Linked DNA regions of Kluyveromyces lactis. The protein of the gene in region 1 interacts with the protein of each later gene in a biochemical or structural test. Links are inferred from orthologs where the notes say so. Each region holds a gene or a part of one and is shown in the gene's direction. Other genes may lie near its edges. The genes, in order: NSP1, NUP159 and KAP95.

Evidence for each region.
Region 2: the proteins of NSP1 (region 1) and NUP159 form a complex in vitro, tested with the Saccharomyces cerevisiae proteins (2 studies listed by BioGRID). The link is inferred for Kluyveromyces lactis from reciprocal best matches to the Saccharomyces cerevisiae genes NSP1 and NUP159.
Region 3: the proteins of NSP1 (region 1) and KAP95 form a complex in vitro, tested with the Saccharomyces cerevisiae proteins (2 studies listed by BioGRID). The link is inferred for Kluyveromyces lactis from reciprocal best matches to the Saccharomyces cerevisiae genes NSP1 and KAP95.

What each region holds. Positions count from the first base shown.
Region 1 is NC_006041.1:1,036,982-1,047,727, reverse strand, and holds NSP1 (FG-nucleoporin NSP1), read left to right. Parts: upstream 1-4,113; coding exon 4,114-6,456; downstream 6,457-10,746. Other genes in the region: MHP1 (Mhp1p), read left to right, coding at 1-3,137; NUP192 (Nup192p), read right to left, coding at 6,562-10,746.
Region 2 is NC_006042.1:327,478-338,283, reverse strand, and holds NUP159 (FG-nucleoporin NUP159), read left to right. Parts: upstream 1-5,056; coding exon 5,057-9,454; downstream 9,455-10,806. Other genes in the region: VAC7 (Vac7p), read right to left, coding at 1-898; porin POR1, read left to right, coding at 3,595-4,443; HIS5 (histidinol-phosphate transaminase), read right to left, coding at 9,523-10,686. UniProt on the Saccharomyces cerevisiae protein: Functions as a component of the nuclear pore complex (NPC).
Region 3 is NC_006038.1:506,651-517,456, forward strand, and holds KAP95 (karyopherin beta), read left to right. Parts: upstream 1-3,516; coding exon 3,517-6,102; downstream 6,103-10,806. Other genes in the region: MRP20 (mitochondrial 54S ribosomal protein uL23m), read left to right, coding at 1-211; sphingolipid homeostasis protein ORM2, read right to left, coding at 963-1,577; long-chain fatty acid transporter ACB1, read left to right, coding at 2,369-2,395, 2,473-2,709; CAX4 (dolichyldiphosphatase), read left to right, coding at 6,929-7,624; KLLA0_B05709g (bifunctional fructose-2,6-bisphosphate 2-phosphatase/6-phosphofructo-2-kinase), read right to left, coding at 7,771-9,414; KLLA0_B05742g (60S ribosomal protein uL24), read right to left, coding at 9,912-10,276. UniProt on the Saccharomyces cerevisiae protein: Importin beta subunit that functions in nuclear protein import through association with the importin alpha subunit, which binds to the classical nuclear localization signal (cNLS) in cargo substrates.

The sequences.
Region 1 (10,746 bases):
TGCGGAATGCAAACCAGCAAAGGTTAGCCCAGAACGAAGGGTTAAATGATCTACACGTTGAAACGAAGTTTGAGCCGAGCGTCAGTAGAGTTGCGGAAGGAGTCCCTTTGGAAAGAGTTCAAACTGAATCACAGGCTTCACAACAGGATTTGGATCCTAGATTGGAAGAGTTCATCAAATATTACAAAGAACATGGTTGCAATGGTTTCTCATCTCAGCAGAATGGTGCTGCAAAGAAAGTAACCAAAGAACCCAACGCAATATTCTCTTTAGATTCTACTCTAGTCGGTAGTAGTAAAAATGGAAACAGTAATGGAAAAGTCCATTTAGATAAGAAGGGCAGACCAATACCGCCACATCCTCCTAGGTCTCGTTTACCACCTGCATTGAAGGTAAGATACGAGCCAGTTCCATCATCCTCTCGACCTGATTCGAGCCATACACCATTATCGGGTGCCAGCAAATTCGGTTCTTTCTTGAAAAGGGTCACTTCTCATACCGATGACTCCTTCGTATCAAGTAGAAGAATGTCTTCAGCGTCATCATCAATATCGTTACCCAGGGATGCAGATGAGTCATCTGTCGATTCTTCTGAAGGAACTATAAATACTTCGGTGGTTCCGGGATTGGAAAATCTCAAACCTTTGAAGCGCGTTGCGTTTGCTGCAAACACGTATTTCAATGATCCTCCTCAACAGATCTGTTCCAGGAACCCTAGGAAAGGTGAAGTTGAAGTAAAAGCAGATGGATCTGTTGTTATCCATAGGTTAACTCCCGAAGAGAAACGTGAAATACTGGAGAAGTCAAGTTGTGGTATTGTGGTAGGAGGAACTGGGCAATTGAAGTTAATCAACCAAGATGCACCAGCGACGTCTCCGGATCAAAATGAAGGCGCTGCATTAAAACTCCATGCTGAGGATGACCATGCGTCTCAACGTCGTCACATCGAACTTGCAGCAGCAGAAGCTGCGGCAGAGGCCAGAGCTAAAGATGCTCCACTAGATTTACAGAGAACTGTGACAAATAATGAAGAAGAGGTTGGTGTCAACAATACATTAGAGAAAGTTACCATTGACAAGCCAATGACATCAAGGAGAAAAGGTTCTAGCACATCATTGGCATCCATGATATCATCGGATTCTGCCTTGGTACCTTCTGAAGATGAAAACGAACTTCTACCACCCAGAAATATAAAGATCCCTCACGATGTTGTGTATACTCGTTGTTGTCATCTAAGGGAAATTCTTCCGATCCCTGCTACTATGAAGCAGTTGAAAAAGGGATCAACGGAACCGATACCGTTCCTACAATTAAGAAACCCCAAACCTTCTAAAGTAGAAGTGCTTTCTTTCAGTGATTTTTTGAGTATCGCTCCGGTGTTATGTCTATCTTTAGACGGTGTGTCATTGAGCGTGGAAATGTTGAGAATTATTTTGAGTTCCATCACATATAAGGATAAATTCGAAAAATTATCACTCAGAAACACTCCTGTAGATCATGACGGGTGGAAGGTCCTTTCATATTTCGTATCCAAATGCAAAAGCCTAAACTCGCTCGACGTTACCATGATTCCAGGATTAGCGCTTAATGTTCAAAAGCCATCTAAATCATCAAATGGCTCAACTGTTCCTAGAATGGTTTGCAATATGGAGAACAGATCTGATATGAACTGGAGTTTGCTTAGTGCGGCCGTGGCAGCTAAAGGTGGCTTAGAAGAAATGATCGTTTCAGGTGCCTTCATGAATCAAGTTCAACTACAAAACTTCATTGATATTGCTTGGACAAAGACATTAAGACTTGGCCTGGCCTACAATAACTTAACTTTAGAGCAATGTCAATGCCTTGCAACCTGGATGACTAACTCTAAAATACAAGGTGTTGATGTTGGTTACAATGATTTGAATGGAAAATTAGGACCGTTCATATCTGCCGTAATAGAGAAGACGAAGAAAGGAAAAAATGTGTTCAAATTCCTATCTCTTAACTCTACAAATCTTTCGGTTCCTAAAGGTGCAAAATCTGAGGATAACGAGGTTTTGAGTTTGCTCAATGGTCTTTGCTATTGTGATAGTTTGAAATTTTTAGATTTATCCAATAACCCAGGATTATTCCCATACGGTATGCGTACGTTGACAGCTATTTTACCAGTGTTTGTGTCTTTGCTTCGTTTGCACTTAGATAACAACAACCTATCCACAACGGCAGTAATGCAGTTTGCCGAAGTTTTGCCGATGTGTCAACGCATAAATTATATTTCTCTATTGGGAACCAATTTGAATATAATATCTGCCAGTGCATTGGCTGCTGCTGTAAAAAATTCCAAGACTATAATCACAATGGATATTGACTACGCCCATGTCCCTGATAGAATCAAAGAAAAAATCTCTGTCTATAGTATGAGAAATACACAGAGAGAGCTCGAACAAATTAATAAATCTGGTGGCGATGATGGACATGAAAAATTGAAGTCACTACAAGAAGAGCTTGGAAGGTTACTAACAGAAGATTCTTCAACCAGGAGTGATTATGATACATTAGTGTCAAACTTCTTGGAACGTATTCAAACTGTACGTGCGAAACTTCATGCTGCAATTGAAGAACTATTCAAATTGAGACTCAATGGAGAGCTAAGTACGGAGGGTAAAGAAACTCTTATTAAATTTTGCTTTATTGACGCAAGTTTTGAAAAGGGCTTGAAATTACTAGCAAAGAAGAGTTTGCGAAGCGCAGGTTACCATTCCCATAATGCAGCCACGTCAAATGACCGTGAAAGCCCATCACCATTAACTTCACAATCTGCGACAGCTTTAACTTATCCGAAGAAACTAAACACCTTACTTTCTTCATCGAAATATGCTTCCAGTGGCCACAGCGCTTTGTTACCCTTCCATCAACCATCTGTAGAATCATATGAACCTGCAGATGACGAGGTGGCACTAACATACACGAGCGGTGAAGTGCAGAACGAAGCCAAAGAACAGTTGAAAGAAGAAGGTGATGTTTTGAGGAAAAGTAGAGGATTAATGAATGAACTACAAAGTACCGCTAACAAACGTGGCCAAGAGCTTAACACAGATATTTTGAGAAGGGTTGGCGAAAGATTTGATAGTGAACATATATCAAAGACGCCCTTTTGAAACAAGATATATCTAATATTATGTCACTCCTTGATGAATTGAACAATCAAGGAATTCCCATTGACGAAATTTTCAAGAAGAAATCAGATGACAAAAAACCAACTGCTTCTAGTTCCTCTGTCGACCAAAGTTCTAATACGGTCGTAGGAGTTGAAGCCAATCTGCAGGAGAAGAAAGGTGATGGGTATTCTGATAGCGATTATAGTAGCGAGGAAGAAGTACAGCAAGAAGAACAAATGGACCGCGCGTTTGACGAAGTTTTAGACACTCTAGCACATTCAAGAAAGACCACGCTTGCGAAATCAAATAATTCGCCAGGCTCAACATAGCAGCACCCAATGCACATAGCCCCCAAAGAGAATACAAATTACATTCCGTCTAAGAAACGTGGAGAATTGTAGACATGAAAACCACAAACTAATTCGAGGGGATACGTCTGCCCCTACTTTCACCTCTCTTTCTTTTTTTTTCAAAAGGAACTTTAACCTAATGCATTGAGATATACGAGATGATCAAAAACACAAATATGATGCCTTACTCTTGGATCAAATTACCCAGAAAGTTGGTAATGTGATTTATAGTTCCTAGGAAAACTCTATTCCATTGTTAACCGTTATTGATATTGGAGGAGAGAATCGAAAGACATAAAAGCCATCAAGCTCGGTTTACTCCGATTGAATTCTGTACATTATATAAATCTTACTATACATTCATTATAATATTAGGAAATAAACTTTAAAACAGAGCTTACTCTGGCTAGTCAAGCTTTATATGTCCATCCGTATATGCATCATATCAAGGTTACCCTCACTCAAATTTTTTGGACCTTGTTTCTTTCTAAAATCGAAAAGATCATAAAACTCGATATGATTAAACAATAAACTGAAAATTGTATACATAATGGCAAACGAATTGGTTTGAATAGGCATAGCTAGTCTATGAAGTGGACAATTACAAGGGTTCGTTAATCAACAAAATGAGTTTCAATTCAAACCCCACTTTCAACTTTTCTACAGCGGGAAATGCTTCCGGTGGGAACAGCAATTCCAATTTGTTTGCCGGTACTGGATCAGGACAAAATGTATCTACCACAGGAAACACCAGTACCAGCACAGGTGCTTCCTCTCTCTTTGGCAATACTGGAGGCCAGACCAGTGGCAATGCTTTTGCAAGTTTCGGTTCAGCTGCTGGTAGCTCTAATACGCAGCAGGGAAATGCATTTTCAGCGTTTGGAGCGACCACTACCAATGACAATGGACAAACAAAACCTGCATTCGGAGGCTTTGGTATGAATACACAACAGGGCGCTAATGCAGTCAAGCCAGCAGCTTCGCCATTTTCGTTTGGTGCCTCTAATACAACTGCTGGTACAGGCGATGCACCAAAACCTGCTTTTGGAGGTTTTAACGCAAACGATGCTGCCAGCAATGCGAACAATAACAACAGCAACACCACGAATACAAGCGCAGCAAAACCAACATTTGGTGGCTTTGGCTCCGTAGGAGCAGCAGGAAGTAGCTCTTCGCTATTTGGCGGGTCGCAACAGGCTAAAGACACTCAACCCAAGAGTGGATTCTCATTTGGTACACAACCTGAACAAAAGACCGATGCAAAGCCCGCTTTTAATTTCGGACTATCTGGAAATAATGCAATGACTACAACTCCGAGTGTCAATGCCTCTAAACCAATATTTGGTGCCAATACAACTTCAACATCAAGCTTCACAACTTCCGCTAAACCAACTGAAACCTCGAAACCTAATACAAATGCCACATCACTCTTTGGTGGGAACCACACTGATACAAAACCAGCCGGTGCTACTTCAGGGTTCAACTTTGGTTCTGCCGCTGGAGATGCCAACAAGCCAAGTTTTTCGCTAAGTCTGGGATCAAAACCTGAAGAAAAAACCTCAGGCGCAAAGACAGGATTCTCATTTGGTTCAAAAACGGAGGACAAGCCTACAGATGCTAAACCAGCATTTTCTTTCGGAGCAAAGCCCTCTGGGACAGAACAAGCCGGTAAGCCAGCCTTCAGCTTTGGATCAAAACCAGTGGCTCCTGAACCCTCTAAACCTTCCAATGACAAACCAGAAAGTAAACAGGGTTTTGCATTCAATGTTAAATCTGGCAACAGTAAAGAGGAGACCAAAAGTGGATTTTCTCTGGGATCTAAAACAGAAGAATCTAAACCTGCCTCTAAAATGGGATTTTCTCTGGGATCCTTGAACACGAATGCTGACGATACCGAATCCAAGCCTGGGTTTTCTTTTGGCAATAAGACTGAAGATACCAAGTCAGCTTCCAAAGCGGCCTTTTCGTTCGATAACAAGACTGACGGGTCAAAGTCAGAATCAAAACCATCTTTTGCTTTAGGGTCCAACACCTCAGAAAATAAAGCCGATCCTAGCCCCGCATTCTCGTTAGGAGCGAAACCTACCGATAGCAAATCATCTGATACTAAGGACGATTCGAAGCCTGCATTTAGCTTTGGAAGTAAACCTGCCGATAGCAGAACATCTGACACTAAGGTTGATTCAAAGCCTGCTTTTAGCTTTGGAAGTAAACCTGCGGAAACTACCGCTTCCAAAGACACGAAAACTGAAGCTCCTTCCTTTTCTTTGGGCGGTCTGAAACCGGATACTACCAAAGAAACAACTGAAAGTGCTAAGCAGGAAACTACAACTGGAACAAAGACATCTACTAAACCCGTTACTATCGAACCTGTTTCCCTCGACAATAAGACTTTGGATGACTTAGTATCAAAATGGACCTCCCAACTTTCTGGAACCGCAGATCACTTTGAGAGTTACGCCAAGAAGATAAATCAGTGGGACAAAGTATTAATGCAAGGTGGTGAACAAATAAGTCGGTTGTACTCTGATACATTAACTGCTGAACAATCTCAAAATAGAGTAGATCAGTCTCTCTCATATATCGAAAGACAACAATCTGAACTTGAGTATTTCCTCGATTCTTATGAACAAAAGGCTGAAGATCTGCTATCTGAGGTGCTTTCTTCGAGCAACAATAACAACACAAGCAAAACGAATGATCAAAAGAGACAACAAGCCTATCATACAGTGGAAATGCTTGACGACAACCTAAACTCTTTGTCACTAAATCTTTCCTCGTTGATTACCGAAATAAACGAAGTTAGCGAAACGTTCAATAAGGCTACAAACTCAAGCTTCCCTAATAAGGAAGAAAACGCTCAGTTGATCCAGTTATTAAATTCTCACCTAGATGCTCTTAAGTCGCTAGAGAACAACTCTCAGCAACTTGAAGGAAAACTCAAGACGTTGACGAAGTCTCAGAAATGATTTTTTTTTTTGACCTTGAGGTTAATACTATGATAATCTATATATTGAAACCTATGTACTTTGCTGGTTCAATCTAATAATCATGTAACCATATTGCCCTGATCGTTATTGCGCTCCAGAATAATTTGTCAGTGTACAAACCAAAATGATGAGTTGAACAAATTCTTCAAGTCCTTCTGGTTTGGTTTCAACTCCATTCTTTTCAAGTAATGCATCTCTCTTTAATGCGCCTTGTACCAATTGCTTGAAATGAGATATCAATTTTCTTGCCTCACGGAAAACGTATTGGCTTGATGTTCCTGAGCTGAGTAACACTGACGCAATCAACTGGAAGATGGGTATAATGATTTCAAAGAGCGAAATACCATTTTCGTATGATGTAATCTGGAGAGGGTTATCTAAAGTTAGATTCGCACGGATTTTTCCGGAGGTTGCAGCACCAACAGATTCAAACATCAATTCTAGTCCAAGATCTGGATCCATTTTCAAGAAGTTACACGACGTAATAGTTTCAAACAATTTCTTTTGAACTAAAGCATGAGAACCAGCCTTTGTTTGAGCCAATTTTGTCAGGAAGTGTACCACACATTTGAAAATTGTGAGTTCATACAATAATGTGTAAGAGGTCACCTTCTCATTTTGAGTCTCTAATACCTCATCTGTGTTTTTGATAGATCTTATAATCAATAATAACATATTACTTTTGACAAGTGATTCCAAAACAAAATTTACTTTGTTCAAACTTGCTAATTGGTTTAAAGCATCCAAAAACAATATTCCTGTTACTCTATTAGCACCTTGCCCCATAATAGCATCATTGCAAACAGTCTCTACTAATGATTCATTGGAAAACTTCAGCCATTGAAGGACCTCCTTTGAAAGGATTTCATCCTTTAGGACACAGTTCAAATACTTTGTACCAAGCACATAAAAATCAGATCTTAGAGTCGCCGATGGTGTCGATATACAGTTTATGCATGTCTTGAAAAGCGTATGCAACCTACTGTCTAGGGTTTTTTCATTATCGATGGCAACTCTATCCTCATGGTATAATTCATAAAGGAAGACAGCAAGGGAAACTAGTTCCTCAGAATATGGAAGGCGAGATTCGACATATTCGTTTACTTTAGGAATAATGAATTCAAATACTTCCAATATAAAATTGGATCTTTGAATTGGAGAAAGTTTACTGTCAACAACAATTATCTGCACCAATTGAACCCATGAATGAAGACCAGAAAGTTGAAATGTTGCTAATTCCTGATAGGCAAGGAAGGCGGTGGATGTTTTCTTAATTATTTCGATCTCTTTCTCAGAGCCGACTTCCAGCTGTTGGGCATCTATTGGATGACCTGATGTAATCGAGAGGTAAGTTTCAGACCGTTTCTTAAGCTCAATCAGGGAATCCAGGTTCGAAAAATCATAAAGAGATCCATTTATCGATGAATTCTTTTCAACTTTGTCCAGGCTGAGATCCAAGCCTTCCAAAATAGTAATGTCTTTAAAGGGATCAGTGGAAGGAGCTTGAGATTTCAAGTTTAACGTATCCAAAAAGGAAAAGATTGTCGCTGAATGTATAGCGTTAGAAACAAGAGCTTTCATGAGGTCATCACATTTTGAATTATTGGCCGCATAGGAGAAAGTATGGACACTCAAACTTAGAAATTGCATTAGAAGACTTCTATATTTCAAAAAATAAAGAAGAGATCCGATAGCTGGCGAGTTTAAAAATTTCGAGGTGTACTTGTCAAAATCTCCGTTGAAAGGCTCTCCATTCCAATGAGACAACACAGACACCTTTGGGTCCATGCTTAGAAGAACCTTATCTAAATCCAGAGTTGACAGATAATCCAAAGTTATTTTGCATGTCAAAGGATTACGGCAAAGCTTTGTAATTATTTCCATAAATTCTGCACATAACCTCATTGGAGCATATTCAACATTAAGACTGTTAATACATGATAGTGACTCGATCATAAGGTTTACGATTGTTTGAAGTAACGAAGTCTTAGAATTTATGAATGTATCTAATTCTGGCCCCAATGAAATAGTATTCGACACTTGATACCCTAAAAGAAAATGTGATATGGTGGTGTTGTGATCTGTGTAAGACAAGTTTTTGCTAATGAAATCTAGAATATTCACCTTTAATTTCAATGAGCATTCATCGGTAATAGGCGACATTAGTTGATCAATGAAGCTTTGTTTTATTCTTGCAGAATCATCAACAGAATCGAATACCGTCAATAATATACTTTTGTGGAGACCTCTAGGATTTCCCGAGTCCAATTTAGTCGCTAACTTCTTTAAAATGCTAATACTGCTCAAAGAAATGTCAAAATTAGTGCTACCAACATAAAGACCGAAGTGAGCTGTCAATGGAAGATTGAAGAAGATAGCGTCATAGAAGAAACGCAATCCTCTTATGCTGATACTTTTGGGTAGAAACACCGAGTTATCAGAGCAGCGTTTCACTATAGGATAAAATTCCTCGGCATATGTTCCTTCGTGTGTTAGCATAATATCAATGATATATAGTGAATCCCTGACCATCAACGACTTCGGCTTCAAAATACGCCCAAGTTCACTCTCCAGCTCATCTATTCCTATAGAGGCTATTTTGAAGATCTTTGAAAACACTTTTTCGTTGTACAAGTAGTTCATTGTGGCAGTAGCATTGGATTGTTGGACAAAGGAATAGAAGTCGGAAGTCTGTACAAACGAGTCCAAATTACAACCGACGGAAACGGAGTTCAAAATAACGCTGTAGTCAAATGATAAAAGCGAAGATTTGATAATATCTAAAACCAAAACGTTCTTGACTGTTTGCTGGTCTTTGGTAGCTGCCTTTTCATCATTCAAGAAAATATTACCCAAAATATACTCATAATAAGGCCATACACCTGTCTTTCTATATCCATATCCAATATTCACAGGAAAACTTAGTTTACCAAACTTCATATACTCATTACTATGATTAGTTGTTCCCACAGACACCAATCTGGAGAACAATTGCAAAAATCCTAAGACTTCGGAGTAGCCAGTGAAAATTGAGTTGAAGGCTGCAATATAGGAACTATCTGTTGAATCTAACGGGTATGATTTGAAAATGAGTCGGTCTAGTTTGGTCCAGTAACCGTACCTTTGAGTTTCTTCCTTAGGGATCAAATGACTTAATACTTTTAGCGCTGCACCTAGTAAAGGACTTCTTACTTTGAGGAAACTGAAGAGGATGTCTTCGAATGTGTTAGCTAATTGCGATTTTATTTGTTCATCAACATTATATGCAATAGATTCAACCAAGGTAAAGTACGAAGACAACAGGATAATTGTTTCTTCACTTAACCCACTTTCAATTGCCACCGCATTGATCTCACTTGTTGCTGCGCCGTTTTGCTGGAGATCTTGTAACTTCTGTTCAAGTTGTGTAATTTTTTCGGTTGTTTCGTTTATATTATGTGCAATATATTTCCAGGAACTATGCTGATTACTCTCCACATAATGATAAACATTATGAGAATTTTGAGATCCATATGACAAACTGGAAATCATCAAGTAAAAGCATGCTTTCATCAAAGTATCGTTACATTTTGCAGCCCATTCTATGAAACCATAGAGATTAGACTCTTTGTCATCCCAGAAAGAGCTTGAATATTCCGGTCTAGATGCATAAAAGAAGTATATGGTAATGAAAAATCGTTCTAGGTCCGCCTTCGCTGAGATGTCATCCAAATAGAGATCCTCACCGGATAATAAAGAATCTTCCTCAGCATTTTTTATCTTTGTCAAGAGGAATGCACAGTCTGTAATAAAAGCTTGAAAGAAGTCATGCAAAGTGGATAGAAAGCTATCGAGTCCATAGTCGAAAATTGATAAATTTGAGTATTTGGTAGAAGGGTCATCAACATAAGTTTTGGTGCTTACTGCGGTTGAGTACTCTGGATCTAACAAGAGTTTTGGTGACATTCTTGGAATATGCTTCTCTAGCAAGGACCGTATGTCAAAGAATAACTCCATGCTTTTATCTGCTTCTACCATCGAAGTTTCTGCTGCGTATACCATCAACTGTTCGATTGCCCCCAATTCGACTGCAGAAGTCATTGGAAGGTCTACAGCAACAGCGAAGTCGAATTGCTTTGCTCTTGTAGTTGGTTCAGCTTTGCACCAGCCTATAAAGAACGTTAAGAAGATGAAGATGAGAACAACCTTGGTGGGTTTAGTGTATATTGATTCGGATTCTAAATCTCTGAGGAATTGGGCGTGCAAACTTTCAACATCCCTGGAGGAGAA
Region 2 (10,806 bases), on another chromosome or scaffold:
GATTATTCAAGCCTTGTGTTTGTGATCGCTGGTGTTGCTGTTGCTGTAAAGGAAGAGACACGCCTGATGATGGCAGTACTGCGCTACTTCCGCCGTTCATATCACCTGCTCCCAAAGAAATCTGAGATGCCAGCTGTTGAGGCGGCGGAGAGTTTGATGTCCGTATTCCTTGTCTCCGCTCCCATTCCTTAGTTTTCGAGTCCTGTGAAGTGGTCAACTGCGAATCCGAATCAATCCTACCATCAGATGACTCCTCTTGATACGATGAAAGTTTACTCAATTGGGGCTTAGTTTTCTGCTTTGACATTGCTGTAGTAAACGAGGGCAGATCATGAGATGAGTTTTTTGACACAAGAGATAGGTCCAACATCTGATCAGAATTCGTAAGAGGTGGTAACGAAAAGTCCCTGGCCCCGTCCACAGCACAGTCGATGAGTAAACTGCTTTTCTTATTCCTTAACCCTGTCGATGACAACGCATGAGTGGATAATGGATTGGTGTGTTGGTGCGATAACGGCGTTCCCTCTTTTTCCTGATGGCTAGTGATACTTTGATGTGTTGAATCTTGCAGCTGTAGTGATGCTATTCTATTCTGACTTTGATGTGGTTTCAGAGTTGCGCTCATATCATCATGGAGATCGTGAAGATCGTGTGTATCTATTCTATCGTGACCTTCCTTTCTCGTTGGAGAGCCAGGCATGGTATCCCTTTTCGTATTATTAAGTAGTTTCTTTTGCGTTAACGTCGAATTCTCAGTATCTGTGCCGATGCCATTCTTATCAAATTGTTGTGAAGGTTGTTGTGATACTGGAAGTATGTTCTGTTTCTCCGTTTGAACCAGTTCCGTTTCCACTATCATCTTATTACCGTCATCTTCTGACCCCAAACCTGCAACCATGGTATCAAAATCAGACTAACACGAGGAACAAGGTTATGTGATAATTATTAGATACTCAACTAAATGACGGACAAAAATTATTGTCAAAACTGGATATAGCACTAGAACTGCAGTCTGTTACTATCTGTTTTCTCTGAATTCGGTCACCTGCTAATAATTCTTGGTGTCATACACTTTTAATTCTAATGGATAAGTATCTTATATATGTTGAAATATTAAGTTGTTAGGCTATTGAAGAAAGTTGTGGTAACTATTACCAGAAACAAAAACTAAAAGAGAATTTCGGGTTTCCATCTTTTTTTGTAAGCAATGATCTTTGAAGCAAAATAGTTGGGATCTGGGGAATAAGTCTGTAGTGCCGATCTGATTGCCTAGTTGGGATAGAAATATGCGAAATAAAAGAGTATTATTATTCCCAAGATGTCCTCTTTCTCTCCCGTGAATGGCAGCAGTTAGAAGGACTTGCTCTTGTCATTTTGGGAGATTTGACTAAAAGAAGATACAGAGTCCGAATGGTCACGTGATTGCAGCTCCAATTGAGATTGGACAACTTTTAGGTTCCTGTATAAATATATATATATATATTGTTGACCAGCGAATTGTCGACCTAACTGGCTAGAGCCTATAGTATAAGTAAGATGTGCGCTAGTAGCTTTTTTAAGTAGAGATGATATTCTTAGATTTTTTTAGCAGGGAGAGCGACAGAATATCGTTAAACCTTTATTTATTTAGGTCGAAACACTAATGGTTATGTCTTGCAGCATATGCTATGAATTTCATACTACACAGCATAAATATATTTTCACAAGAATAAACCATTATCTCTAGTTGGTATTTTTGTGGCAATTGTTGTTGTCTACCGTTTCAAGTTTTTTTGGAATACAACAGACGTTGCCCCAGCTAAACTCCATGAGAGCTCCAAGGAAGTACTTCAAAACAAAGATTATCTTGGACATTATTCTAAGACTGAAAGAATACTTTAAGACTGATTAACCCCTGTTGTATTTTTGAACTCCGATAGTGAGGTGTGAAATATCCTTTCGAACTTCGAATGAATTAATTCAGCATTTCTTTCGAAAACTTTGATTGATTCCAACAGGTCAAAAGTAATTCCTCATCCACAACACTATCTTCCGTAACCTCAGTATTGTCAAGAAAACTTGAGCTGGTCCACAATGTAATGTATCTTTGCTTTATATTTCTCTACATGGTACATATTCCTGAGACTCAAACGACAAGTTCTGAACTGAAAAATACACTACGTATTTTTCAATCATGCAAGAATACCGTTCAGAGGATTAGAGGGCAACAGGGAGATGTTTAGGTTTTCATCATGACTTCGGAAAACAAACACAGATGCAGTCGTCAACTGTCAAAAAGCGAATGTGAACTGTCACTGGTGTGATGCTATTCGCCATTATATTTCAAAAGACAATACTACCACATCATTTTCAGTTTCAAGGTATATCTAACTATTTTCTACTACTAGGAAACTGCATTTTCATATTGTTAACTCAAAGTGGAATTTCGTTTTATAAAGCCTAATTATTGTTCTCGAAGTTTAGTTTTCATGATAACTTTTCGTTTTTCCGGTATATGAGACAAAGGACCGATTTCTCGGATATTCACGTGACTGTTTAACAAGAAAATCTACACACCAAGTGGAGAATCTTGCCTCCGCCATGTGAAAACCAAACTAGAAAGAGGAGAGATGCACACATACACAATTCTGTTGGAAGAAAAAAAAAATTGTTGCGTACATAGCGATATATTCACGTGACTCTAAATGCGAACGTCATCACCCCGGTCCCACTGCGTGTCTCTTCGAGTCAGCACTAATAAAAGTCGGAAATCAAAATGCAAGAAAGGATTCCAGATATATCCGGCGCAAATGAGTCGCCTCCAATTGTCAATCATTACGTGGTCTCTTTTTTAATTAATTTTCTTTCGGTTTTTGTGTAGAGCTCTCAAGAGTGCCGGAGTGATAGATTAAGACAAACTGAAATAGGGAAGACTACAAAGCACATGGGGTGTAGACCCAAACTATCAATAATTGCAACATGATAGTCCAATTAACGTGTTCTATACACTTCCATCAATAACCTGTATATAGCCATTTTTATTTAGCCTCAAATGATTGATATCTGTATGCAGTATGTACAATCTACAAGATATATGCTCGAGAGCAAGTGCGTAAAGAATCTCAAAGTGAGTTAGTCCGACATCCGCTCTTAAAACGACACCTCAGGCAAAAAACTGAGCTACTCTCCAGTTGCGTATAGCAGTCCCCGCTACCCCACTATAGACGTGCGTTCCCACTGTATTAAATCTCTCGTCCCCTATAATTTTCACTTGGGAAGCCTTGTGCTTTCCAATGTTTACATTTTCTGGCTACACGGTATTTTTGTTGAAAACTGTGAAAAATCGAGAAAAGTTCACATTGTCATTATTTGTATTTATAAAATCGATATTATATATAAATGAAAGAGATCGAGATATTTTTTTTTGGGAAATTTGCGAAAAATCTTGGATGCACACCGAATTAAAATGGTGTCTGTCTCTTGCTTTTGTGTTATGTAGTAGTTCCTTCTTGGTTTTAGCGGTTGACTGAACTCTAATTGATTCACATTTAGATCAATCGCACTTCCGAAAGCTTGCTTCCGCCCTCTAACAAAAAATAACTTCAAAGATTTACAATGGCTCCTCCATTCTTTTCTGATATTTCCAAGGACATCAATGGGTTGTTGAACAAGGAATTCTTCCACGCTACCCCAGCTTCTGTTGACGTTAAGACCACTGCTCCAAACGGTGTTGCTTTCACTGTTAAGGGTAAAACTTCTCCAAAAGATGGCTCAATTGCTGCTAACGTTGAAGTTAAGGCCTCTGACAAGTCTACTGGTTTGACTTTCACCCAAGGTTGGAACAACGCCAACACTTTGGACACCAAGATCGAATTGGCTGAATTGACTCCAGGCTTGAAGACTGAATTGATCACTTCTGGTGTTCCAGGTGTCTCTAAGGCTGCTAAGTTGAACGTTAACTTTGTTCAACCTTTGTTTGCTGCTAGAGGTTTCTTCGATTTGTTGAAGGGTCCATCCTTCGTCGGTGACTTGACCTTGGCTCACGAAGGTTTCGTTGGTGGTGCTGAAGTTGGTTATGACATCTCTGCTGGTGCCGTCTCCCGTTACGCTTTGGCTTTGGGTTACAACGCTTCTGGTGCTTATTCCGTTGGTTTGTCCGTCAACAACGCTCAATTGATCACCGCTTCCTTCTTCCAAAAGGTTTCCCCAATCTTGCAAGTCGGTGCTAAGGCTGCTTTGAACCCTCAAGCTGGCTCTAATGTCAACATTGAATTCGCTTCCAAGTACGCTTTGGACGCCGTTTCTCAAGTTAAGGCTAAGGTTGCTGACTCCGGTATCGTCGCCTTGTCCTACCAACAAATATTGAGACCAGGTGTCACTCTAGGTATTGGTGCTTCTTTCGACGCTTTGAAGTTGGCTGAACCAGTCCACAAGTTGGGTTGGTCTCTATCGTTCGCTGCTTAAATGCATACTTAGTAATTTTACACAAGTGTTAAAAAGAAGTGTTACTTTTTTCTAAGTTTATGTTATTTTGCTTTGTCCAATGGATCACCAGCCTAGGTTATCAATTTTGAAATGATTCACATTCAACTAAAGTATCATTCTTCTTGGCGTTCCATTTGATACCGATATATATATATATTGCCTTTCATTTTGTTCGCTTTTTTTTCAGAACAACAATATCCGCTTTGTTTTCATTACAGATATGGCCTCAATTACAATGTTAACGCCTACTTCTTTCGAAGATACTTACCTAACTAAATACGTATTCTTTAATGACCATCTAAAAAATTTTATATCTCAAAACATTCATGTCATAGTAAAGACAATAAAACATGAACACTAACCTCATACTGATTTCCGGATCACGTGATTGATAATTTCCTTCTTTTTGGAACTTTGTTTACTTCAAAGCTATCATCAAAAAGCTTCAAACCTGTACAAGCACTGAACATTGCAACTGATGCCCATTGAAATTCAAGGTTTACAAATTAATAAGCAGCTGAGGTTTATATTAATACACTAACGGATTGAAACTACTACTGTCGGCACAGATAAAAGAACACATACAGAATCAATGACGTCCTCTGTGGTTGATGCGTTGAATGTTGAAACTACTGAGAGCTTGGGATTCAAGTTTTTATTCTCTAAACAAATTGTTCCAGGCTTCAATGAGGATTTGCCATTCTCAAAACTGGCTAATGCTTCCATACATCCGTTGAAAAAATTACTAGCTGTTGCTTCTTCCAAGACTGTGTCTGTATATGATCTGCAATCTGTCCGTGATGAGTCCTTCATCACTCTAAATACGAAAGAGTTCACGGCGAAAGTAGTGGGCGTTTTTTTTGTGGCAGAGAGTTTGGCTACGGTCCTAGAAGATGGTTCAGTATGGGTTACCGAATTGGACCAATTCGCCTGGGAACAATACTGGGACGGTAATGGTGTCAATGAAGTCATTTGTTCTGTAATTTTCCAAGGGAATGTACTTCTTGCGAGTAACGCTAATGTCGTGTTTAAAATATCCTTATCGCAAAAGCATTCTTCCGAACAGTTACATTCAATCACAGGTTGCATCGCAATTGACACTTTGAAACATCAACTTTATGTTTTACACAAAAATGGTTCTATAGCTGTACTGGATGAACAGTTTAACGTCACATCCTCTATTGAAAAGCCATCTCTCGATGAACCTAACGAACCGTTGTCCATAAACGCTTTGTCAGAAAGCAGTTTACTCGTATCGTACGGCGAACCGGTCGATGCCTCGGAAGAAGATATCATGTACGATTTAACCGTATATTTTGTCAATGTCAATACTAAATCTTTTACTCCTTCCATGGATATCGCGCCTCCCTATTCAACAGTCAAAAGAAATCCTTCATACTACTCTCAAACATTGTATCAACTCGCTCAGCAGCTACCACATCTATTCGTTATAGGATCATCGTGTGCATCAGAGCTATCGATTGCCACACCGAACGTGATGTATAAACCGGACCAAGATGCTGCTTGTGCAATTCTTCCAATCAACCCTGAAACAGATAATGATACACAACCCATTGGGATGGCCCTAGATGTATTTTCCAGTGGTACTGTGTATGAGCCTTGTTCCGGAGTAGAGGCTGCTGACAATCTACCGATATTATATGTCCTCACCAATCTTGGGGAACTATTTTGTTGGGCTTTATTCCATCACTCTGCTTTACAAAACTCGAGTTTCACGCTAGAACCAACCAAAACTCAGTATGTACAGTCTTTCGAAATCTTATCTCATAAAATAGAAAGTGGTTCTTCTTCAATGGAAAAGGAAAAAGTTACTTTAATTTCTCCCCAAGACACTAAGAACACAATAACTGAAGTAAGAAAGGTTCCTGAACAATCGTCATTTTTTGAAACTACAAATTCCTTCGCTAAAGGTTTTTCGTTCACTCCGAAGAACATGACGGATAGTACAAATGCTGAGTCTGAGGGCTCTCAAAATCCTTTGCTGTCATCTGGTTCATCTCCTGCATTTGGAAAACCTGCCTTTGGCCAAGCAACATTTGGCCAAGTAACATCTAGCCAAGCAACACCTGGCCAATCAGCATTCGGTCAACCAGCATTCGGTCTACCAACTTTCGGCAAACCTGTATCTAGTCAACCAACGTCTGGACAATCAGCATTCGGTCAACCAGCATTCGGGGAGCCAGCGTTTGGGAAACCGGCATCTAGTCAACCAACATCTGGACAATCAGCAGTCGGTCAACCAGCATTCGGTCAACCAGCATTCGGGGAGCCAGCGTTTGGGAAACCGGCATCTAGTCAACCAACATCTGGACAATCAGCATTCGGCCAAGCAGCATTCGGTCCACCAACTTTCGGTAAACCTGCATCTAGTCAACCAACGTCTGGACAACCAGCATTCGGACAACCAGCATTCGGCCAACCTGTATCTGACCAATCGGCGCCCAGTAAACCAGCGTTTGGCAAACCAACATTTGGAAGTACATCATTTGGTACCCAATCTCAAACTAATACCACTTCACCCTTGTCCGAAGAGGCAGAGACGTCATCTGTCTTTGGAACGCCAAGTTTTGGCTCCACATCTTTCGGAATACAAGGAGCTAATGTTACCTCTCCATTCGGAACCAACACAAAAATTTCATCAGAGTCGTCTTTTGGAAAATCGCTCTTTGGAACTTCTCAGTTTGGCAGCGACAGCGCTGTTACCAACCCTGCACCGAATTCATTCGCTACATCTGCGAAATTGTCTTCACCATTTTCTGCCTTTGCTACAGACCAAAAGACCATAAATCCATTCGAAACTCAGACTTCTGATCCATTCGGCCACTTGAATTCTAAAAAAGAAGACACTAAGTCGTTCAACTTTACTGGTTTCGGTGAATCTATATCAGAAGCTAACCACAGTTTGCCATCCGTCACTCAAGATTCTTTGAATTCGAAAGAAGTCAGCGATTCGACGATCGAAAACGATCAATCTGAAGTGCCTAGTCCAGCTAATGATTCGAGCATTTCAGAAGATCAAGACGATATCGAATCTAACATTGTATCCTCTACCGATGAAAGTGATTCCTTATACGGAGAGGACAGGGAAATATATGATAATGATAGATCTGATATACACATCGAAGCCTCTTCAAAACCTTCTTCAACTGTTTTGAACTCAAACAGTGACATAGAAGAGGATGAAGCTGAGCAAAGCAACGAAGAACAAGCAAAAGTGGAGACCAAAGATGGGCAAGAAGAAGAAGAAGAAGAAGAAGAAGAAGAAGAAGAAGAAGAAGAAGAAGAAGAAGAAGAAGAAGAAGAAGAAGAAGAAGGAGAAGAAGAAGAAGAAAAGGAGGAGGGAGAGGAAGAGGAGAAGGAGCAGCAAGCGCAAGATGAAGAACAAGTGAAAGATGATACTAAAGATGTATCAAAGGAGAAAAAGCAAGAAGAAGACAAAGGAAATGATAAGCAGGTCAAAGGTGATCTGCTCACTGAAGGATCTTTCCCATCGGCGGAGAGCACAACCCCTGTTGCTGCGTCTTACGTTACTGAGGAAGATGACACCAGATCGTCTGTTGCTTCTTTTACCGATAGGATAAAGAAAGCGGCTAACCTCTCAACGGAGAATATTGCCAATCCATTCATGAAATCCACAGCAGTTGAAAACAAAGATTCCTCACCTTTTTCGGGCTTCACAAATTCCTTATCCAAAGATACAGGAAAGGCTCCCGCATTTTCCTTTGCCAATCTCAAGAAGGATGGTTCTGAAATTACCTCACCACTGTCTAATGTCAATTCTATTAGCAACGAAAGTGTTATGAGAGAGCCAGAACCAGAATTAAAACAGAAAACTGGTGATGAGCCGGACCCCGAAGTGGCAACTCCCTCTACTAACCTCGCAAGTTCAGAACAGAAAAAGGAAGCACTTTCAAAGGATCAAGAAATTGTACCATCTTCAACTGTCAGTCCAGAATCTGGTAGCGTCTCTTCTTCACCAGTTGTGGTAGATTATCCTCCAGTCAAAATGAGTAAATCATCCGGTACTACTACAAAAGAATATGTTTCACAGCATGTGCAAGCGAGTGTACCTGTAGGAAGCGCTTCCACTCAAAGTCTTACTAAAGAAAGTGCAGACTTTACTTTACAAGCCTTTGAAAATGATGAGCAATATATAGCTGAAAGGTATCTTCCTGAAATGCCTAGTGCTTTCTATTCCACTGCTGAACTTAAAGAATTCAGTACAATATCTTCCGATGAAGTTGTACAGGCCGTTGAAAAAACAAATGCTCAAGTTTTAGCAAACATTCAAGTGTTACGCTCAAATATCGACAACATTGGGAAGTTTATAGGTGACCATTCCCAAAATTTATTCAAACGTACTGAGAAAACTGTCCCAATTGTCTCCTCCTGGAGACTTGGTGAGGCGGCCACTCTTTTGGATATCCTTACTTCCAAGGCTAAACAAAGCTACGAATTGAAACAGTCTTACCAAAGGTTAGCAGATAGTTCTTCTGCGGTAACTAATTTCGACATGCTAATCACGACACTAAAACGCCAATATGACATTCTTGAACTCTCCAACAGGACATCTAATCATTCCAACAGGAAACTTTCTTGGAGTCAGCATCATATCTCAACTATGGTAAAGAGGAAACTTGAAGAAGTCTCCTCGAAACTGGATGAAATTAGAGAATCCATTCAAGTACTAAAGCTTTACAATCTTACAAATACCAAGGAAGCACTGCATGCTGTGCAGCAATTGTCATTAAACGGAGGCATTGGCAGAGAAAACTTGTTAACAGAGATTCAGTCGTTAAGAGAAGAAATTTCTGTGTTAAAATTGTCGGCAGAAAAACCAAACCAACTAGAACCTGAGAATCTATTAATTAACACAGCTTCTACATCGTTGCCCCTTCTCGAAACTACTTTGGAGTTATATACAAGGGCTCAATTAGGAGATTTTTTCTCATCTAAACTGTCTACGTAATGTGTAGAACGAAATGGTCCAGTTGAATACGCTAAATAATTGCTTGCATCCACCTTTTCAAACCTTAATTAAGCCATTATTAAAGCAAGATGTTTCCTGAACTCTTTAATTAGAACATCATTTTCTTGCTTAGTACCAATGGTGATTCTTAAACCACCTGCGCAGCCAGGCTCATTACCTCTATATCTTGTTATAACAGCTGATTCAACGGCAAGCCTTTCATATAGCTTCTTAGTCAAAGCGTTGTCTCCATTGTTGATGTTTAATAAGATGAAATTAGCGTCTAGGCCACCCAATTGGGAAACATATGGAGAAGAAGTCAACTCCTTCAACACTCTCAATTTTTCCTTTTTAACTGTGGCAGCATTCTCTTCCATCAATTTCAAGTTTTTTGGTTGTACTGCTTTCAAAGCAACTTCTGCAGTCGAGCAAGAAATATTATAAGGAGCCTTCATCGAATTCAAGACTCTTGACATAGCTTTAGATGTATACGTAACTCCTAGTCTGATTCCAGCTAGGCCAAATGACTTAGAAAGAGTTTGTAAAACAGCAATATTTTCGTACTTTGTTGCTAGCGGTGCCAAGGACCCCTTATCAGAACCCTCAACAAAATCGATGTATGCTTCATCTACAACAACAAGACCCGTTTGCCATTGTGATAGAATCTTTTCAATACGATTAACATCGATAAAGGTACCAGTTGGATTACCTGGTGAAGTAATGAACACCAACTTGATTGAGGGATCGTTTTGCAAAGTTTCTAAGATCTTTTCCTCATCGATTTGGAATTTGTCTTCTTCAGATAACAATAATGGTACCGTAACGTATTCAACATCGTTAACCTGAGAACAGATGGTATACATTCCATACGTAGCAGGTGCAATTAAGATTTTTTCCTTTGCTGGCACACAGCACGCTCTAATAAGGGCATCGATGCTTTCATCAGATCCAACTCCAAGACATAGGTTGTCAGCATCCAAAGGCTTCAAGTTCTGGTCTTTGAAAATAGAGGTTTTGTTACGGTAATCAGAAAGGAGTTTCTTAAACTCCAATTGATGCGGATCTGGGTAACGATGCAACAGAGAGTCAACATTGTATTCCTGAATGGTAGGTCCGTATGGGTTCTCATTGGCATCTAACAAGATACCTTCTTGGAAATCATCACGAGCGCAGCGATATGGCTCCAAGTTCAGAATCTTTGGCCTCACAACTTTAGCTATATCAAAAGTCATCTCGTGTAACAAAACCTGAACACTCTTAGCGCTGTACCTGAGTATGTAGTGGCTGCAGGAGGTACATTTCTCCCATCAATTGACAACTTTAATCTGTGAGTTGTACGTCTAAAACGTTCT
Region 3 (10,806 bases), on another chromosome or scaffold:
CAGAAACGATAGGATGAGACTAGGATCCGACGCTAACAAACCTTCAAAGGCATTCGATGGTGTATTGGGACCATACCAGGAAACTGCAAAACCTTTCATTCCTAGATTCCTTAAAAGAAGACTAGTGAATAAGAAGGCTAGAGAGGCAAAGAAGGAACAATATTTGGAGCAAATCAAGAAGGTCAGTGAAGTCCTTGCTAAAAGCACATGAATTTCAGAGAATTTATTCTTTCATGAATTAAATTCTAGTAAAAGTATTACATCCTGTAAATATAATGTATGAAATATAGTACTGATTTAAAAACTGTCATAGCAAAATAATATGACGACTACTTGTGAACATTTTCAATGTTTAAATGAGAAATAAGTTTGAAGAACACTATATGTATGTATAAAAGATAAATACATTGTGGTGAATATTAAGGGAAAGTTAAGTGCAGTATGTCCCAGTTTGAAAAAAAATGAAGCGAAAAAAGAGTAACGGTATAAGATTTCTATTTGATTCCTGAATTTCCGTTGTATTGATCTTCACGGTTCAGGATGGAAGGGTTCAATAACGGGCAGGTGCTCATTTAATGTCATACTTAGTCACTAAACGGTTAATCTTGTTTCTTTTTTTCCTGTTGCTGATTATACTAAGATTGGCATTCTAATGTTCTTTATAAGTTCCTATTCCAATTAGTACACGGAGTTTCTAGTTTTTTTGTTCCTGTCTAAATAGGAACAGGATAATGATGATAATGATGATGAAAATAATAATAATAATGATGATGATGATAATGACGATATGAACGAAGCGAGTTTCTCCCAGTTCTGGTCAATTAGACAACAGAAAAAAACATGAGATATTTTATCGCTTCTGATGTGAACCGGAGAGGCAGGTAGAGAATCTCCTGCCTCTCTGTTTTTGTTTTTTTTCCTTTCTATTTTTAATGTTTGATTCATTCATTTGACTCCCTTTCTTAGCTGATTTGAGCAGGTCCTGTGATACCAGGAATGCTTATTCTTAGCCTGTGAGTTACAGGTAGTTTAGGAACCACAGCTACGAAGGTAGTTAAAACGAAGTTCAATAAAAATAGTTGTAAATCGTAACGGCAATAATGTGTTGACAAAAGAAACAAACCGATAGGTACCGTAATCAAAAACTTCCTAGTAGGCGTATACAACACCCCATCATCGATCTGTTCCCACATTGTTAGATTATCATAAACTCCTCCGTTGAAATCGAAAGGTGTACCTTTAATCAAATGGAACATGATATAGGAACCAACCACGTAAGCGATGTTAGTCAAGGTCCATGACCATTCGTTAGACATTCCAGGTAATAAATTGAAGAAGAGTCTAAGCAGTGCAATCACAACAAGGTGGATAATCCATGCGCCTCGCTGATTCACCCAATTAGCGTTCATATTGTTCATCATCTGTTGGTCATTTTCATCTTCAAAGGATTCCGGTTCCACATGCGATATTATACTGGAAGAACGCCTTCTTCTGTGATCCTTGACAGGTTCAATACCAGACGCACCGCCATTACTGTTATCTTGTCCATAAGATGGGAAAGGTTTCAACTGTGACATCGTTTATATTTTGCCTTCAGCTGCGTGGTACCTTCTTAACCAGTACTCAAAAGATGAAATAATGAAAAGCTCAGTCAATAACAAATGCGTAAAAAAAAAAAGAGAGTTTCAACTAGTGTCACACACTCCTTTTTATCGAAATTAAGTTATTCTACGAACGTATCCGAATATTTTGATGATAAAGGAACAGAGATCAGTTTGGATCAAGGTTGTTATCAACGGCCTCAGTGGTGATTTAAATTTGTATTGATTTTAAAATATGTAATTCTGGTTTCAGAGAAAAAAAGGAAAGCACCAGCCAAATCCGAAATCAGGGTAGTGGACATAGACAAAAAAGCGAAGAGAGTTTAAGTAAACACACGTGACTAGATATTGAAACCCAACTGGCTCATCGAAGGTACGAGTAGAGGTTTCACTCAATGCTCTATAGCTGTTTTGACCAATGAAGTTTCAATCTGCCCAAAATAAATCATTTGGGTTTGACAATAAATGAAGACAGTTTGATAAGAAAGCTAGTCGAGTTAAATAGACGCTTCTAGGTCCTTTCTGTTTGCTGTTGGAGCAAAAAACGCATCAGCTGTTAGATCTTACCTGAATACTAATGCCGTTCATTATGAAAAGTTTCGTGCCATGTAAGCAAAAACTGGAGGAAGTTGTTTTCAGTGAGAAAAAACATATAAATACCTAATGCACAAAATCAAGAGAAGCTTTACACATGGTACTAAACGAAGGATTTGTGAAAGACAAGTGTTAGTTCAATACGTCAGATATCGACACTCACTCAAAACACAATGGTTTCTCAATTATTCGAAGAAAAGGTATGTGGAATCGTTGTTGCAATGGCTTTTGATTTCCCTTAATAATCATACTAACCGCATCTTACATTTATCTGCAGGCTAAAGCTGTCAATGAATTGCCATCAACTCCAAATAACGATGAATTGTTGAAATTGTATGCTCTATACAAGCAAGCAACCGTCGGTGACAACACCAAGGAAAAACCAGGCATGTTCAACTTGAAGGACCGTTACAAGTGGGACGCCTGGGAATTGTTGAAGGGCACTTCCCAAGAAGATGCCGAACAACAGTACATCGAATTGGTTGACCAATTGATCAAGAAATACGCCCCATAGAGCTGGATGGTCTCGCAAGTTATTGCATCATCTAACTAACTATCTATATCTACATATATATTATCCTTGATCCATATAGCTAATGATAATACCCTTATTACTCGGTTTGAAACACGAATTACAAGTCACGTGAACAAGCTAACGCCAACTATTTACCCGGCTATTTGCAGTTGAGTGGCAAAAAATTCTTTCTTCCCTAGCAGTATATAAGTTACCCTCCGTTAAACAGGAGCACGATCCCTATTTTTCTCTTCATTTATGGGGTTCATACATTGTTTTCTAGGCAATATATCCGGGTAACAGACTCTTTTACTTTCCATCTGATTCCACTCCAAATCGTAGCACAAACGCGCTTTACAAGATGCTACACAGCTTTTTCTTATTTTTTGCTTATTCCCAAGCTTCAAAGAATTTCTTTCCTTCACATCTATTTATCAAACAAAAACAACTAGAAAACATTTCGTAAACAAAAGAACTTAGGATCCAAGAAACAGGGAAACATTTCACTTTGTATCCTTGCGTTTAGGTGTCTTGTGCAAGGGAGAACGGTTCGTGAGACACTTGATCGAGAGTTCATACTCAGAAACTCGTTAGTAGGCGCCGAATAATTACAGAATAAAGGAAGATCTAACGTCGCTATTCGATATACTGATACTTTTATAAAGTGAACCAAGTGTGAAAATTTATTATTTGCCGTTTGCTGTTGCAGTTCCTTGTTTTATTTCTATAATTTTGGAGACTGACTATTGAAACGACCCGCTAGGATTTGGAAACACTAGTAAGTTATAATACCCTTTACAAATCGTTATGTCAGCTTCCGAGGTTGCCCAGTTTTTGGAAAACATTATCATTACTCCGGACCCAACGGTCCGTCTTCAAGCGGAGACGACGTTGAAGAAATTATCTAACGATAATTTCTTGCAATTCGCTGGACTTTTGTCTCAGATCTTGGCCGATGTGTCCGTTCGTCTTGAAGCTAGAATTCTAGCAGGTTTGACGTTGAAGAACGAATTGATTTCGAAGAACCCAACAAAGGCCCAGCAGTTTGCTCAACGTTGGTCTACGCAAGTCGATGCAGAGTCTAGACATCATATTAAGCAGTTTGCGTTACAAGCGTTGGTTGATCCAGAGACTCGTGTTGCCAACGCTTCAGCTCAGTTGATCGCTGCCATTGCAGAGATCGAATTGCCATTGAATCAATGGCCAGAGTTGATGAAGATTATGGTAGATAATACCGCTCAAGAACAACCAGAAAATGTTAAGAGAGCTTCCTTGTTGACATTGGGTTATATCTGTGAAAGTGCAGACCAAAGTGATGAAACTTTAATCAATCAATCGAACAACATTTTGATCGCTATCGTTCAAGGTGCACAGTCGAACGAAACTTCTAAGATTGTCAGACTTACCGCGCTTAATGCATTGGCTGACTCGCTTGCATTCATTAAGAATAATATGGAACGTGAGGGTGAAAGAAATTACTTGATGCAAGTCGTATGTGAAGCTACCCAGGCTTCGGATGAAGATATTCAAGCGGCCGCATTTGGTTGTCTTTGTAAAATCATGTCACTATACTATTTCTACATGAAACCTTACATGGAACAAGCTCTATTCGCTTTGACCGTGGCTACTATACAATCATCCAATGAAAAGGTGGCAGCAATGGCCGTTGAATTTTGGTCTACCATCTGTGAAGAAGAAATTGATATTGCTTTTGAACTGTCACAGTACTCCAACCCAGGCTTGGAATCTTACAATTTTGCTCTAGTATCCATCCAAGAAGTGGTGCCAACTCTATTACAGCTTTTAACAAAGCAAAATGAAGATCCGGATGATGATGATTGGAACGTGGCAATGTCTGCTGGTGCTTGTTTGCAACTATTCGCTCAAAACTGTGGTAACTACGTAGTAGAACCTGTCTTGCACTTCGTTGAACAGAACATCACCAGTGACAATTGGAGACAACGCGAAGCGGCTGTGATGGCTTTTGGTTCTATATTGGACGGTCCTGACAAAACTCAATTGACTAGTTTAGTCCATCAAGCGTTACCACCTATCCTCAACCTAATAACGGATCCAGTTTTGCAAGTGAAGGAAACAGTAGCATGGTGCATCGGCAGAATTGCAGACTCAGTCGTTGCTGCTATAGATCCTCAAGACCATCTTTCTGATGTTGTAAACGCTTGTTTGATCGGGTTAAAAGACCATCCAAAAGTGGCTACCAATTGTTCTTGGACGATTATCAACCTTGTCGAACAATTAGCTGATACCCCTTCTTCTCCGATATACAATTATTATCCAGTTCTTGTTAGCGCATTGCTTGAAGCTTCAAACAGGTCAGACAATGAATATAATGCTAGAGCATCTGTATTTTCTGCTTTGACTACTTTAGTAGAGTTCGCTAATGACCAAGTCGGGGAAACTACTACCTCAATTTCCACTTTTGTTTTGGATAAACTTGGACAAACAATGCAAGTGGATGAAGCTCAATTAACAGCTGAAGATAGACAAAACTTACATGAATTACAATCGAACATTTTATCTGTTTTGGCTGCAGTGATTAGAAAGAACCCACAATCTGTTAATCCAGTAGCAGATATGTTGATGGATCTATTTATGAAACTTTTGAGCAAGAATGATACAACATACGTGGAAGATGATGTCTTTTACGCTATTTCTGCTCTAGCATCTGCGTTGGGTAAAAACTTTGAAAAGTATTTGGAAAGTTTCTCCCCATATTTGGTTAATGCGTTAAATCAAGTACAGTCCCAAGTTTCTATCACTGCCGTCAATCTAATTGCTGATATCTCTAACTCTTTAGAGGATGACTTCAAGAAATTCGCTCCATCGTTCATGAGTGTTCTTGGGCAAATGCTTTCTTCTCCAGATGCGAAGAAGGAATTACAACCTGCAGTCCTTTCTGTTTTTGGTGATATTGCCACCAACATTGGATCAGATTTTATACAGTATTTGTCCCAAGTTATGTCCGTGTGCGTCATGGCTCAAAACTATAAACCGAATTATAGCTCTTCTGATGCCCTCGATTATCAATATAAATTATACGAATCAATATTGGACGCATACGTAGGAATAATAACAGGGCTACACGACCAACCAGATGCATTGTTTCCTTACACAGGTTCAATTTTCCAATTTATCAACTTATTGGCTGATAATCCAAGTGTTGCATTAGAAGATTCAATTGCAAGAACAGCAGTCGGTATAGTGGGTGATATTGCTGCCATGTACCCAGACGGAAGGCTCCAACAATTCTATACACAACCATGGATGATTAAGTTTGTAAAGGACGTGAAAACCAATCAATCCTTTTCTCAAAACACTAGAGATACAGCAAGGTGGGCAAGAGAACAACAAAAGTTGCAATCTAACTTGTGATTCTTTTCATTCGCTCTTGTTTGCCTGCCTACTATTAATAACAATACACTGACTTCCACAGACAACTCACTTGCATAATTCACTGCCTTTGACAGTTTATTCACTCCAACCACTGTTCATTGGATCTATGGACGCCAGTTCCCTCATCCTTTTTAATATAAAGAAGTCGACCAGTTCAAATTTCCTTTGATCCACTACTATCATTCTCATTACTCCTACTACTCTTATTCCCTACTCTTCTACTACTTACTACTCTCTTTTATTCTCACTATTGCACTACTTATTATTCTACCCTTGTATTTTATTTAATAACTCATTATTCTGTTTTATTCTCTTCTCTACCTACCTCTTTTATGATACAACTTCTTTCTCGATTTAAAGCAACCTGGAGTTTCCGTTCTAATGTCACAATGGTCACTACTCTTTGCTGTCACACTCATCCACTCTTAGCATCCCATTTCTAATCATTTTTACATCACTCTAACGATCCTTTATGCCCACCTTCCGTTAACTTCTTCACTTCACATCTTATAGCAAAATACTACATCACTACCTTATATAGACTACTCTTCATGCAGTGATTCATTTGCATTAAATTATAGACCTTAAACAATTTATCAATAAGTTCTTTTTACAACAGTTCATGTACCCATATTTTTTCAATCCTTCTCAGCCTTTTTGTCAATTGTTTACTTGCTGGGAGGTTTACATCTCGAATGAAACAAAAAAGCTTTAAATTCTACATAACAACGCTAAACGACGGATCAAAGACGCAAGAGAAGGAGTTAGGAAACATCGACGATTACGGTCATAACTAGCGGCAATCATGTCGAATTTGACCGCTATTCATTCAAAGATCCCGTTTGATGATACTTATATTTTATATGACCCGAATGATCTATTTTCGTTCATCTGTTGTTATCTTTCACTTCTGCCTGTTGGCATATTAGTGTTTTACTTCTCCTGGTTCATTATTACTCGTGAGATCGAAGCTGTTATATTAGCGGGAGGGCATGTAGTGAATGACATTGCCAATAACATCATCAAAAACATCATCAAGGAAACGAGGCCAATTGATTTTGGTTCTTTTCAAAAGGATTCTGTGAGATCAGGTTATGGTATGCCAAGTGCTCATTCCCAGTTTATGGGATTCTTCACCATGTATATAGGCCTCCGTATCTGGTGCCAATGGGGTGGCTTGAATAAATCACATAAAATTCTAGCAAGTTTTGGTTTGTTACTTGCCTCTAGCGGTGTAGTAGTATCACGCGTCTATTTAGGCTATCACACTCTGAAACAAGTTTTAGTGGGTGTTTCAATTGGCGCTTTATTAGGAACATGCCACTTCTTAGCCTCTACCATAGTCAGATACATTGGGCTAGTAGACTGGTTCTTATCTTGGAGGATTGTACAATGGTTTTTGATCAAGGATTCATGCTTCCAGGCTCCTTTTAGTTTGAAAGATGAGTACAACGCCTATTTACAGAGAAGACAACTAAGCATCAAAGCGAAAAGCGATTGACAAATTGGAAGGAAACCACAGATAGAATGTTAACAATTAACACCAGTTTATTTGCTTTACTAGGAGTCACAAGTATTCCGCTATGATCTTGCATTATTTTAATATAATTGATATACCTATTTATATGAACATAATATAAACCTTAATTAATCCATCACAATTGGAATCCTGTTCACTTTATTTTCGAATGGTCCGAATGAGATTTCAATCAATTCATCACGGGTGAACGTTAGTCTTGGTATCTCAGAACAGGAAAAAGCCATCAAATAACCGTATAACACCCTTAAAGTAGATTCATGACCAATGATAAGAATATCACCGCACATTCTTTCCATCTCAAGTAGAAGTGGCTCCATTCTCACAGCAAGATCATGATATGATTCAGCTCTTGAAAATCTGAAATGGTATGGATCCCTTAAGTATTCTTCATATTCGCTTGGGAACTTTTCTCTGATTTCTTCATCAGTCATGTCAGCAACAACACCTGGATGTAGTTGTTGCAATTGATTTCTCTGCCTTACAGTAATGCCCAGATCAGCAAAGTATTTTGCCGTATCGTACGTTCTCTTCCTTGGTGCCGTCCACACCACGAAGGAGTCGTCATCAACACCATCCCCACTAGCAGGTTGCCTATACATAGCGTTACCAGTTGATTCAGTCCGTTTCAATGATGCACTCGTAGCAATCAACGGTGATTTTGATCTTTCATTTAGGGAGACCAGAGACGGTGTCCTTGGAACGTCTGCTCCGTCATCATTAGCGTTAAGTCTTCTTCTGTTGACCAAGTCCAATACAAGGTCTGTCAATATTCTGGAATATTCCAAGCCTTCTCCGTTTAACTCTTCATCGTCGATGTACTTATCTTTAACACTTGTTCCACAACGAGCGAAATAGACACAGCCTCTCTTATCACGAAGGTTCATTAAGAAGAAGACAATCTTGTTAATCAAATAGCCATAGTTATTATTGTTCACGGTCAACTTCTCACCGAAGTTGATATACTTAACGTAGCTCAACTTTTCTTCTGGGCTCATTTCTTGATACAAATATTTATTGGCTTGGAGTCTTTCCATATAATCTTCTTCAGCCCTCTTAAGGACCCACCCTTTATAGTCTTCGGATTTTATAGCCAAATCGACGTTCCTCTTTTGTAAGACTGGGTCTGTCACCACTGATTCGATAAATAGAACTTTGATGTGTAACTTACCAAAAGCTTGTTCTATAGATGACCTATCATCTTTCAAAATATTCAGAGCATCATAAACAGCCAACTGGCCCTTCTTCTCGTCGAAAAATTCAGTCATATCTTGAATCATCTTACTTAATATCTCTTTCCTGTACTGAATTCCTTCCTTGGAGGTCGGTTTTGCGGAGAAGTAATCATCGGGTACCTCCCCCTTTTCAGCTCTAATCTTCTCTCTTCTATACTCCGAGACATGGAAAGACCTTGTACGAACCCCTAACCATCTAGTATATCTAGTAATAGCAACCGACAACAACGTTTTGGAGGTAGCTGGGAGGCCTACTAACACAATAAGTATCTTACCGGCATGGAACAAACGTCCTGATTCTGTCGAATATAATTGGCCCGGGGAAATATAATCCTTAGCAACATCAGTATGAACCCCATCGATGAGTTTATTAATAACCTTAGGCCTTTTTTCTGTAGAGCCACTAGACCATCTTTTCCTGGTCCTTGCCATGTGGTTTCCAGGAACCGGCTTTGTGATTACTACCTCGGACCCTAATCCATTTATCAATTCATCGTCATCAGATACAATCGCTGACATTGTTTATTAATGCAATCTTTACTTTGAGAAACAGTTTCAAACTTGGTACAAAAATGACTTTGCAATATACCAGCAGTTGCCCTTATAGATCAATGTAATCACCAGCTACCAGCTTTATTCACTACGTCTGGTGTCCGGTTTCTCCAGGTTCTTTACCTGATATGTTTACTCAAAACTAATAGCTATACTGACTGACTCCGCTGAAATTTTCGATTTCCTAAAAATCATGTTTCTATGGACTTATCAAAGGGTAGACTTAGTGAAAGAATGGGAAAAAGCGGAGGAAGAAGAAGAAGAAGAAGAAGAAGAAGAAGAAGAAGAAGAAGAAGAAGAGCGAGTGGGTTTAATCAATGAATGATTGTCCAATTGGTCGATATATACGGAAAATACCCGTTTTGTGTATTTAATTTCAAAAATGTGAGGATTACACTTATATAAGACTAGTGAACATGATTATAGAAGATAATATTTGATATATGAAAATCTTAACAACCAGTTTATTCCAATTTACCACCCTTTCTTTGGATCAAGGCCTTTCTGTCCTTGTCCAAGTGCAACTTGGTGATGACGACCTTGGATGGGTGGATGTTGGTTGGGACGGAAGCACCGTTAGACTTTTCCTTGGTCAACTTGTCAACTTGGACAGCGAACTTCAATCTGTAGACAGAGGAAACCTTACCTTCTTGACCCTTCTTGGAACCACGAACAACCAAGACTTCGTCTTCCTTTCTGATTGGCAAAGCCTTGATGTTGTATTGTTCTCTCAATTCTTTGGACAAAGGAGCGGACAACAACACACGACGTTCAGAGGATGGGGCAGTGAAGTAAGCCTTTCTGGCCTTTCTTCTGTCAGAGGAAACGTCTGTGAAGAAAAACGTGAAACGTACTTGTACGACGGAATATCATCATACAATCGTTATAAGAGAAATGTTAGTAAAAAAATAGAACACTTTTTAAAGGAAATGGGTTAATAGGAAAAAGTGTGCCCTTGAGTGTTATTTTCCAGTTTGAATGTTGAAATCTGTACGACTTGTTGGTGAGCCCACAGGACGTGTTCTCTAAAGCTCAAACCCCTGGAGTACTATATTCATTTTCCGAATTCCCTCATATAAACATCCCTCCAATACCCATCAATAGTCACATGGAGTCATCAACATTTCGTTCCGTTTAATTCCGCTGCTTAGGATCTTGCGTATTTATCATTCCTTGTTCTGTACTTCTCGATAATCCTTTCTAGAGTCAACTTAGACATCACAACAAAATTAAGTGTACCAAAGAAACATCTAAATTTCTAGCGATAAAAATTATATCCCGTTGCCGTGAAATAGTATTATTGTTCATATACGTTCATAGTTCTTGTTGCTTTACTATAGCTTAATCAAATCCACTTTT